Alligator mississippiensis: one gene and its partner. The protein of the gene in region 2 purifies or fractionates together with the protein of the main gene of each other region. This does not show direct contact. Links are inferred from orthologs where the notes say so. Each region holds a gene or a part of one and is shown on either strand. Other genes may lie near its edges.

Region 1 (3,742 bases), on a different chromosome or scaffold from region 2:
ACAAGACCCACATTGCTCTGTTAGCTACAGAGCACAAACAGAAGGGCTGAGGACTGGCCGGGCAGGCAGCCCCTGTCCAGGAAGATTCAAGCCGGTCTTTAATGCTCAAGACATGCAGCACAACTCACGCAGTCCTTTCCGCCCTCCCCTGTTGGAGAACAGCTCCGGCACGCGGCCCAGCTGGCCCTGCTCTCCGCAGCCGCATGTGTAGAGGCTTCCGTCTGTGGCCAGCGTGACCAGGTGGTCATTTCCTGGGGTGACAAAGAGGGAAGGGGGGGTAAACAACAGCCCTTCCTGCTGCACTCCCATCCTCCTGCTAAATGCACGGGTGTCTGCGACTTCCCCTGGAGAGCCACCTTGCTGGGAACCCCCGGGAGACTGCCAGAGACCGTGCCCAGCTCCAAAAGCCACAGAAAAGCCTCACTATGCAGAGAGAAGCCAGAAGCTTTCCTCTTTGAGCTAGCCCAGAAGAGCCAAGGCGCATATATGCATTGAGCGTGCAATGCTAACGCTCAACGGCATTTCACTCTTGCATGCCACGAACACCTGGCTGATCCCAAGCCCGCCAGCTGCTAAACCTGCAGGCAGAGATGCCCACTTTTCACATCCTGACTTGACACAGTTGTGCTGGTAGGGCCTAATAACAGTCACCAACGCCCCTGTCTGTGGTCTGGGCACACCTCCTTGGCTCCCTGCTTCCAAGGGACAGAGGCGCTGCATGCCTGGGGTCAGCGAGAAAGCCTGGGCTCGACAGCAGCAAAGGAGGGATGCTGGATTCTCAGCACAGCCGGTGGCAAAGAGCAGCGAGGGAGACTCCAAACCTGGTGGGAGCAGCTCATCCCCCAGGCACAGGCACCAGGCTCACCTGAGACTATCTTGATGATGGATGACCGCAGCTGCAGCTCCATGGGCACCACGCTCTTCTTCATGGGCTCCAGCAGGCCGATGACGCCGTTGTTGTCCTGAGAGCGGAGACGAGACACAAGGAGGGTCAGTTCCCAACTTGGGAAGACCCAGCAAGCTCTCAGCGCCCGGGCAGCCGGCTTACCCGGAAGGAGCCCCAGAGGAAGACGCGGCCGTCGTCCGTCAGCGCTGCGGTGTGGCTGTCACCGGCAGAGACCTGCACGATCTTTTCCTCCAGCTCCACCAGGCCCGGCCTAGTCTCCGAGCCCTCCTCGGAGGTGTCGCGTCCCAAGGCCCCCTCGTCATTGCAGCCGAAGGTGTACACCTGCACGTGGAAACGTGGCAGTGAGAAAGGTGCCCAGTGGCACAAGGAGACGCCCGGCTCCAACCCAGAGATCTACCAGCCAGCCCGCCGTGGATGACCATGGGCATGGAGACACACACACATCCATGGGGTCACTTACCCTGGTTCTGCATGCCCACGCCCAGCCCGCTACCCCCCAGGGTGGCTCGTAGGAGGGGGCTAGTATGAGACCTCACCAGGGCAGCAGAGAAGAGCCTGCTTGCTTCAAGCCAACAGCACCAGGCAGGGCTCCCAGCCAGCAGCACCCTGCCCTGGACTAGCCTCAGCTCAGCTGGAAGAAGCCTGTTTCTGCAGGCAAAGCTGCCTCCCGTCAGGGATTCTCTCAGCCCAGCTACGCCGGCCAGGGGGAGGGGGCTGCTGGGGACTTTCCGCTGCCCCCCTTGCCAACACAACTATGCCAGCAACCTGACACAAGCCAGCTCCAAGTGAGGGTGCCCAACAAAGCCCCCAGGCCTTTGACTGAGCCCATCCCGACACTGCAACCCACCGTGGGCGAAGGTGCCGGGGACTCACCTTGCCCGTCACGCTCAGGCAGACCGTGTGCATGCCTCCTGCTTCCGCCTGGATGATCTTCTCCGGCAGCTGCACCAGGGCCGGCCGCTTCCTCTCCATCACGTCCTCCCCGAGGCCCAGCTGCCCAACGTCGCCCTGCCCCAGCGTCAGCACCAGCCCAGGCTCTGTCCGGTGGGACGCGTGGCAGACTGCACAGGAGGAAAGGAAGGGGAAGGCTCGAAAAACCAGGGCGCAGGCGGCAGGGTCATGAAACGGCACCTCGAGACGGGCCTTCCAAAGCCGTGGGAAGGAGGGGCTCACCCAATGCCACCCTCCTGCGCTGGGCACCAGTGAAAGGGACCGGGGGCTGCAGCCAGACCTGCCCCGTGCTGCCCACAGGTGTCTACACAAGCTGTCAGGGAGCAGACACAGGGGCACGGGGCACGAACGCACCTGGGCTTTGCAAGCAGCGCCGCAGCCTGCCTCCTCCCAGAGAAAGACCGCACAGGGGGTCAGAGGCCTGCGACGGCGGAGAAAACTCTGCAGACCTACCTTTAACCCTCTTCTTCTCCGGAGAGCCATCCTCGGGCAGCGGGCTCTTCCTCGCCGCGCGCTTCCCGGACATGCTGCTCTGCACCTGCGCCCCGGAAAAGAAGAAGGTGAGAGATTGCCAGGAAGCCGGGTTGGAAAACAGAGAGAAGCCAAGAGAGGCCTCCCGGAAACCCCGGATTTGCTGCAGGCTGGACATGCGGGAGGGAGGGAGGGAGGCAGGCCCCGGGGCTGGGGGAGCGCGATCCCACCCCGGCCTGGCCCGGCCCGGCCCGGGGCTCGGGGGCAGCGCCCGGGTTTGAACTTCCCGCGCTGGCAGCCGCGCAGGGCAGGCCCCGAGCCCGCCGGGCCCCCCCCGCCTCCCGGCCCGCCGCGCTCGGCTTCCGGGCACCGAACGTTCGGGCCCCGGCCGCGTTCCAGGGCTGGAACGTTGGGACACGCCGCGTTCCGTGCCCGGAACGTTCGGACCCCGCCGCGTTCAGTGCCCGGAACGCTGGGACACGCCGCGTTCCATGCCCCAGCGCCACGTGGGGCCGCACCGGGCACCCCCACGCCGAGCGGGGGCGGGGACGCCGAGCCCCCGCGCCGGAGCCCCCGCCGCTGCGCCTCGCCTCACCTCCGCTCCGCTCCGCGCCGCTCTCTGCCCCTTGCCCCCCACCGCCACCGGCCGCCACTCGCTTTAATCCGGAGCATGCGCCCGAGAGCCGGGCACCGAGAGGGACAGCTCGGCGCCCCCAGCCGGCAGCCGCCGGATCCTGCAGCGCGATCCCGAGCAAGCCCGGCCTCCCCCGGGCCAGGACCGGGCGGGGGTCATCGCTCCGTGCACACGGGTCACTTCACGGACCGGGCTCCAACCCCCGGGCGGGGAAGGCAGGAGTGTGCAGGGCTCAGAGGACCCCCCCGAGGAGGCCTGAACCTCCTGCTTCCTACCGGCTTCTGTCCTGCAGCTTATACCCCAACCTTTTTGCCCCAGCCGCCAGCAGCAAGCCTGGGGGACTTCAGCCTTGCCTCCAGCGCATCCTGCCCCTGGCACAGACATGCAACACAACCACCTCATCTTGCTGCAGGGTAGCAACCGAGGCCATCACGCAGCTCACCCGAGCCATCATGAATCTCTTACTCTTAGTTCCTCACTGCGGAAGACGAGAGAAGCGAGGTGTTGCAAGTAGCCCCACGCGCTAGGTTGTGTGGCTCTTGACGTCGGTGGGAAGTTGGGGCAGTTCTCCAAAGGTGGTGCCCGCAACATATTTTGCAGATGCACAAGGCCCCGTGCTCTGTTAAGAGCGAGTCAAGATGCCCAGCCTTTGCAAAGTCATTTCTCAGATTCAACTTCCCCCGTCTGTTAAACAGATACAAACCAGCCACCCAAGAGCAGAACAAGAGCAAACACCCAGCAGCCCCCAGTTGGTAAAGACAAAGTCCCAAATCGTCATT
Region 2 (3,742 bases):
AAATAATGCTAAACAGGTTTTCTATTTATAGATAAAACAGAATACTACTACTTAAATACCAATGAGAAATATATGAACTTTGCTTTAAAATCATGAAATTCATTAATTCAGCATGGTGGCAACACATGAATATCATCGTTCAATTTTTAGTTACATTTTTGCATCGTTAGCATTTTTAGTGTAAATGCCAGCATGTATAGGACAAGTTTATCCAGAAAGATATACACCAAATCTAAAAAAAGTGGCTTATAGACTTCAAAAAATCCTACATAGTTGTCATGTTTTTCTCTGGATTCCACACCTCCTTTAGGATTATACAAAGGACAGATACAGGAGTGTAAAATAGGCTGAATAGTACACAAGCACACTGACACGCTTAGTTCCTTTTAGCTCTGGAAGACTCCCTCTCAACTGTACCTCAGACAAAGCAGTAAGTAGTATTTAGTAAAAAAAAAACCAAAAAACAAAACACCAAACCAAAAAAACCGCCCAATCGATTCAATCTTTAAGAACAAATAACCCCCCTCTTCACCCAAATGCACTCAGTCAGACACACCCCTTTCAGTTTGCATCTGCGCTCTCTAACCAGGGAACAGGGTAGCCGTTTTTCAATTCAGCCAACATTTAAATCAACATATTCCACTAGTAACCACATTTATTTTAAGTTTAAATCTCCTTCAACCACTTTAAAACAAGTGGTAAAAACACACTTCATCTTCCACGTGACTAAGGAAAGTTAGCCCCACGGAAGCAGAAAGGAAATGTTCGGATTAGAGCTCTTTGCCACTCCCAGCATTATCTTCAAATGACCTACCTAGTCTTGATGTGAAGTACCGAAATGGCGGCTTTGTGGTCAATGCCAGCCTCCCTCTGATCAACTTGATTCCTTACTTACTCCTAGCCGAAATGATTACCTCAGAACTGTAACGTTTGATTTACTACACACCACCTCCCCACATGAACCAAAGCAGAGTTTAAGCATTACCTCCAAGTGCTGCACTAGATTAACTCAAAACACTCCTAATAAACCTGGATACTGACAGCAAAACAAGTAAAGGAAAGACAACTAAACAAGTCAATGAAAAATGAAAGTAGGCCACATGGAAAGAACCAGATGTTTATAGAAGCCCAAAAGAATGAGCCAACCGTTCATGCAGTGGAGCCAAGCCTGAGCAGCCTTGCAGAAGTACAAAAACACTTGTGCTGAAAGCAAAGTCTGTGGCTACATAACAGATCTGCACCCTGCTTCTAAAAGACCTGGGCTGCTGGAATAGGGTGCACTTCCAAAGAGCAGGGGGAAGGAAGGATAACCTCTAGGTCAAATTCAACTCTACAAAAGGCGACAACTGCTTAAGGCTTGGGGGGAAACAGTAATTTCATTTAAGCACAGGGCTAGCAGAAAATCCCCACCACGCCCCATTTTAGGCTAGGAAGTGGCCCAACCTGCAAGGACAAGTCACATGTGAAACCACCCACCCACCCACCAGGGGTGCGAATAATCAGCTCCTTTCCATCCCGCGCACACAAAATCCCTAATAAAACTCTCCAACCGCCTGCATGTGCACACGTGCTGGGGGGGGCAGGGATTCAAGCACACAGGCCACCAGAAAGCAACTTTCCAGGCAAAAAGCCGCGTGCGCGCCCGCCGCGTGGCTCCAGCGCCCTCCAAAGCAAGAGCCTTCCGCTTGCAGCGGGAGCTCCCAGGCACCCTCCCCCCGCCACTGCAGCGCGGACACCACATCCCTCCTTAAACACATCATGATTATCGTTATTATTTTGATGCAAGCCCCCCCCCCCCTGCGCGGGCGCGGGCACGGACGGCAAGGCCCGGCGCGACGGCGGCGGCAGGGCCACCACTGCAGCCCCTCCCTCCGCCCGAGCCGCGCGCTCCACACAGGCCCCCACGTGACGCGGGGGGACGTTTCAATCCTGCTGCACAGACACACGAAAATATTTCTGGAAACTTCCACTCCTAATAATTTGCAGATCCCGACCCGCCGCCCCCTCCCCCCGCACCCCACCGCTTCCCGCCAGCCTCCCTCAACCCCTCCGCGAAGCCCGCGGCCGCCCCTGCCGCACACGCGCCTCCTCCCCCCCGCGGCACTCACCCGAGTGGAGCTGGCAGCCTTTGAAAATAAAAAAAAAAAATGAAGGGGGAAAAAAAAAGGGGAGGGAAAAAAAAAAGTCGCGGGAGCCGCCCCGCGCCTAGGCCGCTGCTGCCCCGCGGGCGGGCGGGTGGACGTGGGTCCCCGCCCGCCGCCGGGAGGGCTCGACTGTGCCCCTGCTGCCGCCTCCGGGCCGGGCTGCGTGCGCGGGGCTCCCCCCGCCGCCTGCGCGCCGGGCCAGGCCAGGCCGGGCCTGGGGGTGCGGGGCCGCGCGCGCTCACTGCGCCCCCATGTCCCTCCCCCCGGAGCGGCGGCGGCTCCGCAGCTGCGCTCGGCCTCCCGGAGCGGCGGCAGGTCCCCCCCACACACACAGGCACACGCGGTGGCGGAGGCGGCGGCGGTAGGGACTGAGCGCGGCGCGTCTCCCCCTCCTAGTGCCACAGGCTCGGAACCGGCTCAAACCGGTTCAGACTGGGAGATTCCATCTCGGTTTAGTTTTCAGCCCATGGCGCCGCGGAGCGTTTGGAAACCTCGGGCCTCCGCCCAGCCGCCACTCCCATTGGCTCCCGCCGGGGCCGCCGCGCAAGCGGCTGTGCCTCTCATTGGCCGGCTGGCCTGCCCATCTCTTGCGAGGCTGAGAGGGGAGGGAGGGGGGAGGAGAGGACCCGCCCCCTCCCCAGCAGTCATTTGAGCGCGCAAGGAGGTGGGGAGGAGGGGAGTGGTGCTGCTTTCTCACTGGCCGCGCTGAGCTGTCGCTCAAAGAGCGCGAGCCCGCCCCCAGCTCGCAACCCCGCGGGCGCGGGGGAAGGGGGCCTGTTGCTGATTGGCTGGGCGCTTGGAATGACGTAGAGGTAGAGAGCGGCGCTTTTTTTCTTTTTATTTTTTCTTTTTTTTTTTTAATGGCGGGCTTGTACGAGTGGAGTGGGGGTGCGTGATCACAAAGGCGCGTGGAGGGAGGGGCGGTGCTTGGCTTTGCCTTGGGGGGAGGGGTGGGGCCCCTTGGCGTTGCGCAGCGGGGCAGGGTAGCGCGGTCTGTTCGCCGCTGCCTGCCTGTCTCGGGGTGGAGAGAGGGCTGTAGGAGCCCGTTGCTCTGTAGGAAGCGGGGTAGATCCCTGGGCTCGTCCCTGCAGTAGCCTCAGTCCCTGCAGCTGCAACCCATGCTAGGAGAAGGTCCGTGCAAGAGGTTGACTTGCAAACCCGTTTCTGTCCTAAGAAATAAGCTCAACGTTTCCAGACAAGGTTCTTTGGATAAATGTGATATCTTGTATTAGGCCAACGCAAATAGTTGGAAAACTTCTTTGCAAGCTTTCGGGTATAAATACCCTTCGTCAGAATGAGGAAGCCCCTGCAGCTGGTGTACGCTCTTTCTGGAGGGAATGGATAGTAAGCCAGAGGCTGGTGTGCATGCAAGAAAGGCCGTCAGTTAAGATGCAAATCGAGGAGTCAGTGGGTGATTTTCTCATGAGAGAGAGGAATGATAAACTCTCCTGAGCACAAGGTTTGAACCCTCGCTTGGTGCCTTCTTGGACCTCTTTGATTTGGGTTTTGAACTGTCATGGCACGAGTTGGGCTTCCACATTCCCTGGCATTTGTACCTGGGGTTTCACTGTCTTGGTCATTCTTTGAAGAACCCGCAT

The links. Proteins that work in one complex are often made in the same cells at the same time.
Region 1: the proteins of XPO1 (region 2) and RCC1 purify together in Homo sapiens (affinity purification with mass spectrometry; 3 studies listed by BioGRID and IntAct, with this or other methods). This does not show direct contact. The link is inferred for Alligator mississippiensis from reciprocal best matches to the Homo sapiens genes XPO1 and RCC1.

Annotation. Positions count from the first base shown.
Region 1 is NC_081829.1:2,129,161-2,132,902, forward strand, and holds the start of RCC1 (regulator of chromosome condensation), read right to left. Parts: upstream 3,005-3,742; 5' UTR 2,925-3,004; intron 2,397-2,924; 5' UTR 2,385-2,396; coding exon 2,312-2,384; intron 1,969-2,311; coding exon 1,781-1,968; intron 1,229-1,780; coding exon 1,049-1,228; intron 963-1,048; coding exon 866-962; intron 252-865; coding exon 129-251; intron 1-128. UniProt on the Homo sapiens protein: Guanine-nucleotide releasing factor that promotes the exchange of Ran-bound GDP by GTP, and thereby plays an important role in RAN-mediated functions in nuclear import and mitosis.
Region 2 is NC_081824.1:212,302,867-212,306,608, forward strand, and holds the start of XPO1 (exportin-1), read right to left. Parts: upstream 2,616-3,742; 5' UTR 2,477-2,615; intron 2,127-2,476; 5' UTR 2,109-2,126; intron 1-2,108. UniProt on the Homo sapiens protein: Mediates the nuclear export of cellular proteins (cargos) bearing a leucine-rich nuclear export signal (NES) and of RNAs.